Lepisosteus oculatus: one gene and its partner. Each later gene encodes a partner of the first gene's protein in a complex. Links are inferred from orthologs where the notes say so. Each region holds a gene or a part of one and is shown on either strand. Other genes may lie near its edges.

Evidence for each region. The genes of interacting proteins can lie anywhere in the genome.
Region 2: eif3g (region 1) and eif3k share a complex: the UniProt entries of both Homo sapiens proteins name them as parts of the eukaryotic translation initiation factor 3 (eIF-3) complex. The link is inferred for Lepisosteus oculatus from reciprocal best matches to the Homo sapiens genes EIF3G and EIF3K.

Annotation. Positions count from the first base shown.
Region 1 is NC_090706.1:15,345,206-15,352,224, reverse strand, and holds the start of eif3g (eukaryotic translation initiation factor 3 subunit G), read right to left. Parts: upstream 3,004-7,019; 5' UTR 2,954-3,003; coding exon 2,934-2,953; intron 2,846-2,933; coding exon 2,775-2,845; intron 2,169-2,774; coding exon 2,080-2,168; intron 1,496-2,079; coding exon 1,436-1,495; intron 681-1,435; coding exon 576-680; intron 110-575; coding exon 1-109. UniProt on the Homo sapiens protein: RNA-binding component of the eukaryotic translation initiation factor 3 (eIF-3) complex, which is required for several steps in the initiation of protein synthesis.
Region 2 is NC_090698.1:5,595,383-5,602,213, reverse strand, and holds the start of eif3k (eukaryotic translation initiation factor 3 subunit K), read right to left. Parts: upstream 3,011-6,831; 5' UTR 2,798-3,010; coding exon 2,736-2,797; intron 1,975-2,735; coding exon 1,876-1,974; intron 94-1,875; coding exon 1-93. UniProt on the Homo sapiens protein: Component of the eukaryotic translation initiation factor 3 (eIF-3) complex, which is required for several steps in the initiation of protein synthesis.

The sequences.
Region 1 (7,019 bases):
ACGGACAGCGGGTGGTCCAGTGATCGCCTTTGCAGATCCGGCAGGAGACGATTTTCTGGCACCTTATCCTGTTTAATGCATCATCCTGGTCATCCTGGCTATTCAGATCCTAATGGGGGAAAAAAAAGAGAAAACTATCAGATACCCTGTCTCTCACGTCTCTGCTTTCTTAACTCAAAGACCAGCTATTGGAAACACACTAGCAGGCCACGCCTCCTTGATTTTAAACTGATTATTACAATGCCATTGATACACTTTAAGAAGATAATCCCCACTGCAACTCTGAAGCAGTGCTTAACAGAGGGTCTAGAGTGCCGCTAAAAACCTAAACTGCTTTGGAAAACATGAATAAGCCAGAGATATTCCACACCCAAAGTCGCTAATACATGCAGCCAAAGTAACATGGGAATTTGATAACAGTGATAATCAAAGCAAATTGATCAATGATCGTTATTAGCCATCCACCGTGCATCGCTGTCCTGAGGCAAGCCTGAACCACACCGCTCGGTTTTTGCTTCGTGGTTTTTCGGCTTCTGCCACAGGCTGCCCGCTGCTCGACCGCGCCACCGGCTCACCTCCTTGCTGGAAATGAAGGTCATGAAGACGTCGTCGCTGACCGTGGTAGTGGCCACATTCGGTCCTGGCGCGTCGTACTCAGAATTTCCAAACTTCTTCCAGTTCTGGTAATCAACCGGAACAAAAAAAAAGTTATAAAGCAAACCTCGTGGAGATCTTACCAGCAAGATCTCCATCCCCTCTTCGGTACTCGTGAATAGATGAAACAAGAAACACCCAAGTTGATCTATTTCCATTCTCGACCCCAAGACCCCCACATCACCCTGGAGTCAGGATCCACCCAGGGATCAGATCTCCCTTGGAAGCCCTTGGAGTCGAATCTCGCTTCATCGAGACATCAAGACACCAACCAGACATCAAGAGACAGATCAAAATACCCAAACAAAGAGGTATCCACTGCTGCTGAATATTCCCTTCGCACAATCAACCCCTTCACTGCTTAATAAGAGAACTGATTTGAACTGTTTGACTCTTTTCAGATCTTAAACATGTCGCTTTTTGACTGCTGCGCTTTATAAATTAAACTAAACTTCTGAGCAGAAAAACAAAATGCCAATATTCCATCTCAAGCAGCTTGTTAGTCCAAATAAGGCTTCAATTATGTAATCAGGCCCAGCTGGAATGGGCCGGCCAGTGTCAGGTCCTACAGGATTAGGGATGGGAACTCCCTGCACTAGCATTAAATAAAAGAGGTCTCCCCTTCCCAGAAGAATGCTCACTTGAGAAACGGGGCCAAATGACACAAAAATAAACATTACTAAAGTGCACATTCACAGACCAAAGGGAGGACAGCCCAGCCGTGCCTGACAGAACGCAAACACACTAAACACACCCACACATCAGTCAGACAGCTCAGTACCTTTCTCCTGGCGACAGCCTTTGATGCTTTTCTGGTCTCGATTTTGAAGGTGCGAACAATCTGGAAGGACAAACAACACTTGGTTCTATTAGTAGTTCAGGTGGGTAGCTGCGTCAGCATGCGTAGGCTGCAAAGGAACAAGTAATAGATTATTCCATGCTGAAAAAAAGAAGAAAGAGAACACAACGTTTCAGCCATGGAGCCTTGACACCTGAAGAAGGCTCCATGGCCGAAACATTGTGTTCTCTTTCTTCTTTTTTTAAGCATGGAATAAGCCTATTACATGGTTCTGTGCCCATCTTGTGAAACATTTCAGGATCAACCCAGAAGCACAGGGGTGGGGGTATTTAATATGCTCCAATAGCAGCAGCCAAAGGTCAGGATGGAATCACACTGTGTTCTCACCTCTCTTTTGCTTCCCTAAGCAGTAGGACTGAAAACCTGACCGCAAAATCTGAAAATTAATACCCAAATGCAATCTGACCAAAAATAGCTACTCTTCCGTGATAAACCCATTTGAAACCCCTGAACGTCAGCTCTGAGAACTTTCTGAAGATTGTTAATCTCTTCCAGACACCACAGAGCACAGCCTATCTGGTAATTGCATACAACTGAGCAGAGTGTTCAACTCTTCAAAAACTCACCTTAACCTTCTTTCCATCCTCATCTATCTTATACTCCGTAAGAGTTTTTATATTCCCTTTTATTGTCTCTTTGGGCGATGGAAGTGTTCCTGAAAAAAAAAAACAACAGCAGCACTTCAATTAAAACATACAGTATTCCTTCGGGATACTATAGGACTATAGATCAGGACACATATACATTGTTACAGGTCAAGCTAATTAACTTAGGAAACTGATTGGCTTAGTTAATTATGACATGTCATCATTGACAGCTACAGAGCATTGACATTTGTATTTGAAATAGTTTCTACAGAGAGTTGTATCTCAAAAACATTGTAATATTTGAAGACCCGTATTCAGTCAGTCCTGATGAGATCGATAGCAGCGTTATATTAACACTTCTTCTAAAAAGCTCTCTTGTTTATAGTCTTAGAGTTCTAACGGTTACAAAGGTGCTGCCAGTATTTCGAAGTGCGTGTATTATATCACCTACGACGGTCCTTAATAATGTACAACGTAAAACTAAGCCATCGTCCTGTAACCAGCTGCAAATATCCTTTAACTGCTGTTCGTGAAAACGAAAATAAACACGTATTGTCATTACGGTGAGGTAAGCACTCTGCTGGCGAGCCTATTTTATGGCATTTCTAGTATTTTACATAATACACTGAATCATCACACGTGTGAAACGGGTGCTTCTCGGCCTGTGCTCAGACCTTTTCCGACTAGGTCCTCCTCACCTTCGTCGCCCTCTTCTTCAACTTGATCAGCCCAACTGGGCTTAGAACTGGGAAAAGAGAGAACGCTGATCAGAAACGTACTTAATACTTTAAGTTAAATGCCAGTAAAAGGTGATTTTATTCACACAGACTTACTCGTATTCTCCAGACGGCATCCCTTCGCTCTGTCTCAGCGCGTAGAAAGACCGACAATGGCAGAAAACAGGCAAGATCGGTTGATTTATTTTCGAGGCCTCGCTATTCCTGTAACAGCGACGCCTACTGCCTGGGAGGAGTTATAAACCCTTCCCAACCGCAGCCGGTACAACACTGAAGAAATCCCGATTGCATGTTGTGTACTGTGGTACTGTACTTTACGTCGATGTTTATAATAATGAATTAATACCTAGTGTCTCCTATGCTTTGATGTCAAATACTAGGTCCTCCGAGGTGTTTAGGTGTGAGTGAAGAAGAAGGACCATTCACTACCTTTGCTGTAACTGTGCCTCCTGCTATTCTAAGGCGTGTAATAAGTGTTAGATAATATGATAAATTGTATAGCATGGAAAAAACTTTTTCTTTTAAGGTGGCTGTTTTGCAAAGTAACAAAATAACTGCGGGCAGCAGCCCCTTTTCAAAAACTGGGGTCCAGTTTAATTGTCCCGTTCACGCGTTCCGGGTCGTCGCTCCGCCTCTCTGTTCTGCTCCGTGAAGGAGGCCGCGACCGGACACTTTGTGAGCCTGACCACTACCACGAAAGATGGAAGAAATGAAGCCTAAAGGACATAGGGGGTTTATTTGTAAAGAGGCATGACACACTGGCATGACACATTTCTCGCAACAGGCGTCGTGTCTCGCTTCCCCATGCTAAATAAATTTGTGCTGTCTTTTTTTGTGGTCTCCTTTAAACAACAACAACCTATTAATCCATAACCGATGCCCCATGATGTCTTATGAAGAGGGAAAGAGCTCATAACGCAGGCAGGTAGACGGTAGCTAGACAAACTGTACACCCTGCTTATGTTCTAGTTTCGCTATAAATTAGCCTCCGACTCCCATGTGTATATATATATATTACCAAAAAAAATACGATGCAAATCGGAGAGTGTTGTTGCGAAGTACATCTGTGGACATGCTGGTAAATATTTGCATCCTGTGTCTTATTAACAGTTTTTATGAGTGTTTTACTGTTGGGCCCAATTGCTACGTTAAATAATGAGTAACGGACAACATAACGTTATCAGATTGTTAAAAAGCGACAGGTGATGAGGTTATTTCACGCCGGGCCTTTTACAACTATAACTAACGGCCGACATACGGGTTATAGAGCCGGTTGCAGCGCAGTTATGACACCGCCCTCTGCTCCCCTGCGTATAACGAGAATGTTGGCCGCCCGGAGTGACGGAGGCCTTTTTTAGCTCAGCCGGCAATATCCCTGTTGGGCGGCACAGGAGCCCCTGAGGCGGGGGACGAACCGGGGCAGGAGCGGCAAGGAGAGCAGAGGGCGGTACCATCACCGCGCTGCAACCGGCTCGCAGTCCCTGGGAACTCCCCAAAAACCCATCGAGGCCCCTGAGCTTCACTCAAGGACACCCCACTTCGCCTTCACTAATTCGGGTGGTTAAAATCTGTGTCAGGGGTGTCAGACACGGTTCTGGGACAATCCAGCGTCTTTTCTTCCAGTCCGAAAAGCCAATTAACCTCTTTGTTTTCTTAGCTCTCTTAAGGACTTTGAAAGTTTTTTTTTGTTAGAAACATTTATCTCATTGGCGGTACAGTTATCTATATACCTAGTAAGACCTCAGGCCCAGATACGGACTAGAGTTCCCCAGTAAAGTATATAATTAGATCCATTATGTACCCCCCAGAACCCTGTGGCCCTGCAGGATTCCCCTGCTCCTAGAATCCTTCTAGTTGAGTATGTTTCCACGTTGTTCTTTCTTTCTTGGTTCAAACGATTCTTCCAACAGGCAGCTGTAGCATTTGCGGATATTCAAACGTATTGAAACACACTCTCCATCAATAACGCCAATCAGTGATTATTCATTCACAGCGCGTCTTTTTCAAAACAAAGAAAACAAACCCACTTAAAGAAGGAAAAACGGCGACATTTCCGTGTTTACAACCGTGACATGTAAAAACAGGTTATCTCATTTACAACAACCAGATTAATAATTCAGTTTTTAATGCCTGTTATTGTTTTTTTTAGGCGCAGTTATTATCAGTGTGTTGCAATTCGTTACGATGTGTAGGCAATGCAGGCTAGACTAATACATGCGTTTGTTAATAAAAGTGAAATGTATCAATAGTGAAGTTTAATATCTATTTTTATTAGCAGATGTACTACAACTAATGCCAGGAGGGTCTTTAGTATGCGATAGTGAATTTTTACATATCCTGGGGAGTGCAGCGAGTCTAAATTAAGAAAACATATTTAAATGGAGTGTAACGCTTAACGTGTTCTGTCATTATCTGGGTGTTATTTAGTAGATCTGTTGTATTTTATGTGTTTCCCAGGGAAAGCAGGGCTTTGGGGGGGGGGGGGGGGAGGTGTTGGGGTACAGAGAATAACTTGTTTAGGCAAATGTAAGGGTGCATTAAAGAAAATAAAACTCTCATCGTCCGTCATCTTTTAAAGGTGATTATTTAAGACACTTATTCGGAACAGCGTCCCTTCTCTTATCTGTGGTTGTGGTCCAGTAGAAACGGTGGTGAAACCGCCGGAATGTGCGGAAAGTCTTGGAGACGGAGCAGGGGGCTCGTCCAGTCGAGACCAAGATTGTGTAGGACCGCACACGCCCCAGCGACAGTGCTGGCTTTCAGTGGACTGGCACACTGGTCACAGGAGAGGCCAGCAAGACGCTGTGTTTAAAATTACAAAGGTTCACAAGGTCAGAGGAACGGCAGGAAAGTGCCTGAAAAGATCTGTTCCCGAAGTCTCCCAAGTTCACCTGTTAGAGCTGCGAATGTAAATTTACTTTTTACTTACAGGTGAAGTTCACTCCAGTGTACCAGCACCTTGCTGTATATTAACCGTGATTATATTTCAGAAATAAAATTGCTAAAGCTATTGGACATTAGCTGTTGCTTGTTGTAACGATGTGCTAACTCGGCTGTAAGGAATACGCACTACCTGCTTTTGTCAGTCAGCGCTCAACTTAAACAACTTAAAATTCTAATTCACCATCTCAAACGGTGAAGACCGTTAAACATACATTAAAAAAAACTCTTAGATGAAGTGCAACAAACTTAGCCCCTGAGTGACACCACACTTACATTCGTGTCCGCAATAGTATAAATATAACTTACACACGAAACCAAAACAGCGACGTGTTGACTTCCGTATGAATCATTTATCAATGAAAATAAAAGCGGTTATAGTACAGTACGGGCTCAAACTCCAGCCCGCTGCTGCTGTTCTCATTTTGTGATGAATTACAATTGAGTACCGCGTCAGTAATTACGTACCCTTATCTGGTATAAAAGCCGTTCTTAAATTTTAATAACATTTAATTTCCAGGGACATTCAGTTATATTTACTAACACGAGAAAAAAAAAGTAATAATCGTGGCCTACATATTAACTTGCTGATCAGATTAGTATAAATGTTCTGATTCGGAGTCCCCTGCAGTCGTGCTAATTAGAACAACACCAACGCTGAGCAGAAGTTCAGCTGCTCTCCCGCTGGGCTCAGAGCTGGAGATGATCTCCAGATAGCACCGCATTAACTAGTCCGCCGAGTGCTAAATCCGAAGGTTCGTTGTAATTGACCTCTTAAGACTGATTTAGATGAACTAATTGCACTAGGGATAGTTAGGATCTGTGAAATTAGGCATGCTTTTTAATACTTGAGTATAAGTATACTTTTAATATTTGAGTGGAGTGTCCAGAAAAGCGCTATACAAGTGTAAGCAATTATTAATTATTATTAATACCGTTGGACCATCGTTTTGAATGTTGGTTTCTCCTTTACCCATATAAAACTTGCGGTTAAAACAGAAGTGCACGTGAAGGTATATCTGATCGAGTCTGTTTGACAAGTCCGTCTCTGTATCCACCTCATATCTGACAGAGTGAAAATCCGCAAAGCCATCATTTAATTTGTCACTCGATGGCGCACGATTTAACGAAAATAGCCGGGTAGACCACAGTTTCAACATTTTAGCAAAAAGGGTCTCTTTATGTCCTTCTCGCAAGACTGCAACACATTTTGCATATTAAAAAAAAATCCCCCAGCCTTTC
Region 2 (6,831 bases), on another chromosome or scaffold:
AGCGTGAAATCAGTGTGGGGCAGGTTTGTCAGGGCTTTAAGCAGAATCTGAGCCGTCACTGTGGTCTGGAAGTAGGCTGGGTTAAACTGGTACCTGCAGAAACATTACAGGAAAGACAGAGCTTCAGTTGATGAGAAGTGGTACAGACAAGAGTGAACCATGACTCAGAGAGACAGCGCAGAGCCACAATGGTCACTCTGAGACACTGCAGCGCGTCGGAGGTGAACGGAGTCACTCTGAGGCACTGCAGCGTGTCGGAGGTGAACGGGGTCACTCTGAGACACTGCAGCGCGTCGGAGGTGAACGGAGTCACTCTGAGGCACTGCAGCGCGTCGGAGGTGAACGGGCTCACTCCGAGACACTGCAGCGTGTCGGGGGTGAACGGGGTCACTCCGAGACACTGCAGCGTGTCGGAGGTGAACGGGGTCACTCCGAGACACTGCAGCGTGTCGGGGGTGAACGGGGTCACTCCGAGACACTGCAGCGTGTCGGGGGTGAACGGGGTCACTCTGAGACACTGCAGCGCGTCAGGGGGTGAGCGGGGTCACTCTGAGACACTGCAGCGCGTCGGAGGTGAACGGGGTCACTCTGAGACACTGCAGCGCGTCAGGGGGTGAGCGGGGTCACTCCGAGACACTGCAGCGCGTCGGAGGTGAGCGGGGTCACTCCGAGACACTGCAGCGCGTCGGGGGTGAACGGGGTCACTCCGAGACACTGCAGCGTGTCGGGGGTGAACGGGGTCACTCCGAGACACTGCAGCGCGTCGGAGGTGAACGGGGTCACTCCGAGACACGGCAGCGTGTCGGGGGTGAACGGGGTCACTCTGAGACACTGCAGCGTGTCGGAGGTGAACGGGGTCACTCTGAGACACTGCAGCGTGTCGGAGGTGAACGGGGTCACTCTGAGACACTGCAGCGTGTCGGAGGTGAACGGGGTCACTCTGAGACACTGCAGCGTGTCGGGGGTGAACGGGGTCACTCCGAGACACTGCAGCGTGTCGGGGGTGAACGGGGTCACTCCGAGACACTGCAGCGTGTCGGAGGTGAACGGGGTCACTCCGAGACACTGCAGCGTGTCGGAGGTGAACGGGGTCACTCCGAGACACTGCAGCGCGTCAGGGGGTGAGCGGGGTCACTCCGAGACACTGCAGCGCGTCGGAGGTGAACGGGGTCACTCCGAGACACTGCAGCGCGTCGGGGGTGAACGGGGTCACTCCGAGACACTGCAGCGCGTCGGAGGTGAACGGGGTCACTCCGAGACACTGCAGCGCGTCGGAGGTGAACGGGGTCACTCCGAGACACGGCAGCGCGTCGGGGGTGAACGGGGTCACTCTGAGACACTGCAGCGTGTCGGGGGTGAACGGGGTCACTCTGAGACACTGCAGCGTGTCGGGGGTGAACGGGGTCACTCTGAGACACTGCAGCGTGTCGGGGGTGAACGGGGTCACTCTGAGACACTGCAGCGTGTCGGGGGTGAACGGGGTCACTCTGAGACACTGCAGCGTGTCGGGGGTGAACGGGGTCACTCTGAGACACTGCAGCGTGTCGGGGGTGAACGGGGTCACTCTGAGACACTGCAGCGTGTCGGAGGTGAACGGGGTCACTCTGAGACACTGCAGCGTGTCGGAGGTGAACGGGGTCACTCTGAGACACGGCAGCGTGTCGGGGGTGAACGGGGTCACTCTGAGACACGGCAGCGTGTCGGGGGTGAACGGGGTCACTCTGAGACACTGCAGCGTGTCGGGGGTGAACGGGCTCACTCTGAGACACTGCAGCGTGTCAGGGGGTGAACGCAAACAATGAGGTAATGCAGTGTGTGAGTGTCAAACAACAAGAAAGTGCAGTTTAATTGTTATAGAGTAGCAGCACAACTCACAATTTTAGTACAGCCAGGTTGGCTTCCAGGTCGTAGGCATTCTCCCGGGCCTGTGTCTCCACATAGCGCTCCAGTGTGGACAGATTCTCTGGGTTATACCTGTGCAGAACAGACTCAGTTAGAGGAAGCACTAGCTGGCCGTCACCAGCACTGTGCCCAGGAAGAACTGGCCAGCTTTTGTTTTTTGTCCCCCAAGATGTAATGAAATTGCAGATGCAACTTAAGTTTCATTGTACAATGTTATGGCTGCAGGAATAAAAGAGCTCCCGTGTCTGTTGGTGTTTATTTTGTGCTGCAAAAGACGGCTGCTGCCCCTTCTGATATATCGTTACAAACTGCTATAAAGGGGGTGCTTGTCTGTGGCCCTTTCACCCCCTGCAATCAGCTGAGTTTGCGAAAATGCAGCTCCAACGACCACAGCCGGACGTACTGACCCAGCACAGCGTCTCTCCCCCCTCCTGCCGCTCCACCCATCACCCCGGCGACGATACAAGTCGCTGAGCACACAGGCCACTGATCTAAATGATTTCGCTAACAGAATAAGTTCTTCCCGTGACTAAGGAATAAGAGAAGCCGACCTGTGAAAAAGTACGTCTCTCGCCTTTCGTTAAAATAAAAACCAGAGTTCTGTTTGGCGCAAAACAAGCCCCGAGTTTAAAAGATAATTTAAAAGAGTTTAAAAGATAATCATAGGTTACTAGTTTATTAAATGTTGGCAGTTTTCCTCATCGACCCATTAAATAACAAAGCACGGTGTAATCCAACAGTGTGTTAGGAAGTGATGAGACCAGTCAGTTTGAAAGAAACCCAATTTACCAACACATCTAATACAGAATAATGGAAGACTCTGCTACACCAACCTGTCGATGCCGCGTAGGAGTTTTCCTACGTTGGCTCGCATTTGTTCGAACGTCGAGGCCATATCTCGCTTCCTGGTGATGGGCTGTGCTGGTACCAAAGCTCCCAGATAGGTTCGGTCCGAACCTAGATACACACCACACGTGGGACCGCCGAGCAGAAAAAAGGAAGAGATCGGACCGAGAAACCCGTGACACCGGAACTGTCCCTGGTCACGTGAGAAGGGCGACCTCTCCCCTCGCGCCTACGAGGGCTCGCGATCTTGATTGATCACAGACCGTCAGCCAAGCGAGTCTGTTCTCTTATTCAATGTGTTCTGCGAGACAGAAGTTGGTCTCCGACCCCCCCGTCAAAAATATTCTGATCCGAGTTTACAACCCAGCAAAAGCGAATAAACACTGAACATTTATTGCGTGGCATTAACACGTCATATACCCAGTGAGAAGTGGAAGCTTGCTCACGTTCGCTGATCGTGTAAGCTATCAAAACTTAGGTTCCACTGGCTTGATACTTCGCGGTTTGGGATGTGTTAGAATTAGCCAATCATCTCCTGGGTGACAGTATGGACTAACGACCGCCAGGTCTGCTCGTCGGCTTCCAGTGAGCTCGTCGCCCCTACCACGTGGTACGAGCTGGTGCAACGGTAAATAGTTCCTGCTCACTTCCAAAGGCCAAATCTATTTAGTTCCCACTCTATGAAAACAATACGGTTTTTTTCTGACATGGTTTTGTATTAAAACAATTAATTGGCTTGTAGGCGAGCTCATAATACAAATAACTGTACTGCGTTTTATTGAGCAGATCTATAGGAGGATGAACGATACTGGCCGCATCGTCCCGGGGAGTTTCGGCTGCGAGCCCTAGCTATTCGAGAGTAAACCGGAACCCGTGGGTTTGCGAAAAACACGGGGGTGCAGGCGGGGAGCTGACTGAACACGACTTCAGCAGAGATACGTGCACTTTAATTTCAATCGCGTCCAGTTCTGCATTATGTTCACGATAGGATAACATATCACATTGGTCAGAAGGTGCTTTCAAAATAAACGCGCTACCTGTTGTTAGCCGCATTTCATATTTATTAGAGGCATCGTTGTTTACTGTGTGATGTGTCATAAAACCATGTCTGTGAAGATAAACCAATTTAATTTAAACACTCCTCAGATTATCTAACGCATTATCTAGTGAGATGGTTTTTTTTTTTCTGAGACCTTAAGACTATTTGGTTGTTGAAGATCCCCTAACACTATAAGGGGAGGGTTCTAAAACCTGGTGTCCTGAAATTTACCCCTCTGAGCCTCAACAATCTGGCCTCCCTTATTTCATCGTTTGAACCGGCTTCTCACTTGGTCCGTCTCCATCTGATGTGCTGTGAGGACTCACAGGAGCAGAATTGATGCCCTGTATTAGGGAGGCGAGTGACTCTCTTCTTGCCTGTAAGAGATGAAAACATACTATACAAATGCAAGGAATTACTGTACAACTATACACATTTGTATAGTTTCAAACATTTTCCACTGCAGTGTAACATCTAATGCAGTTTTTTTTTTACTTAAACCAAACTCCTTGGTTTCCATAACTGTCATAAAGAGGAAATGGAATACCCATATCTCCGTTCCTTCTTAAGCTAGTGTTTCATACTGAAATATTTTTTAATTATCTTTTGGGAATGAGGCAGAAAAGGCCTGGGAGTAACATGAGTGATATCAGAATTCTGTGCCGTTCTGTTTCGTCGTAACATTTACAAGCACGTTGCAGATAGTAATCATTAAGCTAGTATATTTTTACCAATTATACAACTAGATACACAAATACTGTGATTCTCATGCTGCTTAACACTGTGCCTCATCTGCATTTGTTACTGCAGCAATTGCATTTCTTAATGAGCTATTTTGATGTGAGTACTCAGAAGCGCGACTGATTGCAGTATGCACAGGATATGCACCCGTGTTAGATTCTGAGAGGGTTCCATTTGCGGGTCTTTACTAATATGCAGTGGTGGTTTAGTTGAAAAGGTTTGCTCCTGGAGATATTGTAGTCCTGCTGAACTTGCCGTGTAGTCCTTTCTGTGCATCTGTGCAGATTACCACAAGTTTGCAGGTTTGCAGGTGCCTTGGTCAGTTACAGGCATCCAGAATTAAAAAATAAAGGGTGAATGAGGTGTCTGCCCACAGAAGCTGACTATTAAAAAAGCAGGACACACTCCATCCCAAATTATTATTAACTATTAAGCTTTGCCAAACTTTGAGGTAGAAAAATACTTTCTTTAGGATATGCAAGACTGCCATAACAGAATTCTTGTGTCACCTAACAGTAATGAATTAGAAACATACCCCATGAGGAACAGATATTCCAATGAATGAAGTCTACAGGAGTCACCATGTTGCAAACCAAAGTGAGGACAGCCTGGTCCTCACTTGAGCCCATGTGACCCAGCCAGTTCCCAGCCAACTGTGAGAAGCCACGGGGGCTAATCCGTTCACTGTACACTATTGTCCTCTTGTGTCAGGACTGTGTAAAGAGCTTTGAAAAGGGGTGCTCACTGTGACAAACAACCTCTATTGTAAGCCAAAGAGATTCACTTGTTCCATAGGTCAGAAATGTCCACTAAGACAAAACATTATGCTTGTGGGTGTGGCACATTCTTGTGACCAACTCAATATATGCTGCACTTTCTAGTTTTGCTATTAATGTGAAGTTTCAGATTTCCCACGCCAACCTGGGAAAAGAAGAATTCCAGGCAGGCAGAGAACAGTAAGCGAAGAGTCTGTCCCCACCTGGAAAGAAAATTGGATTGGAAACAAGCACAGTTGCCTTTCAGGTTAAGCAGATCCTACTTGATGCAGCATAGCATAGACTATTATAGAACAATGATCACATGTTCAGAAGCTCATTGGTAACCAGTGTAGTGGCATTAGCACAGGAGTGATAAGGAAAGAGAAGCTTACATTAATCAGTAATCTGGCAACTGTTCTCTGAAAAAGTAAAGCCTTGTATTATTAATGTAAGACATGGCAGCAATTTTAGAACTGCTTTAAATAGGCGAGAAATTCAAAATGCATCTATTGCATGTTGCACATACTTCCTGTACAGCGTACACTAGCATTGACTGAATTTAGCATGGCAACGCTGTTTTGGCAGTTGTCTGGTTGAAGAAGACTTCCTACCAGAAAAACAGGATGACCTTTAGAGCTGTCGACTGTATTGCAAAACCGTTCTCCTGTTTTCCTCAATAAAATAACCACATGCAAATATTATCAAATAAAACTGGAGTCCCCCCAAATATATTAAAATGAGTTCAGAGATTATGTGCTAGTTAGTTCTAGTTTTATTCTGTTATATTCTTTTTGGTTTACAGCAGGAAATATCTCTTATTCTCAATAACTGTATTTAATTAACTTTTAATGTTCTCAATTTTTGGAGCTCAACCCAATTTTTAGAGCACAACTCCGATGACAAAGAGCAGCGGACACAGTAAACGCTGTAAAGTAAGGGCAATGTCTTCAGTGTGTAAGGGGCTATTGGAGTAATCTATTATGTTCTATCGTACAGCACTGAAAACTGTGGATGGTCTGTGTGGGAGGGCATCAGAGTCTAGGTTAGCCGTTATTTTACAGAGACTGTGGGCTTGTCTCTGATTGACTAAACAGACACAAAAAAAAACAACAGACCCTCCCTCATAAGACAGGTTTTATAACCAACAAAAGCAAAAAAAAAAAGGTTATTAGTCGTTAACAGCTGCACATCGCACCAAACGTCCCTGCCTCTTCTTCACCCGTTTCTAAATATAACTGGTTTTCTTTGACATGCCCCCACTGCTGCGAATCTTCCCACCCCCCCTCCCCGGCTGCACTGTGTGTGTTCTGCACAACTGCACATACAGCAAACAAGTGCAGGCGACTCAACAGAGCACAATTCGCCCTCTCCTCCTCCCAGGGCTCAAGGCAGGCTCAGCTCTGGGAAAAGAGCTGCCTTTTGTCTGATGACAGAAAAGAAGAGCAAAAAAAATCCGTCAAAATCAGTCAGCATCAAGTGGCTTTCATCTGCATGGGGAGACGTTGGCGGCAACATAGGGCAGAGTGCTGCAGGCTGGTTAGCACT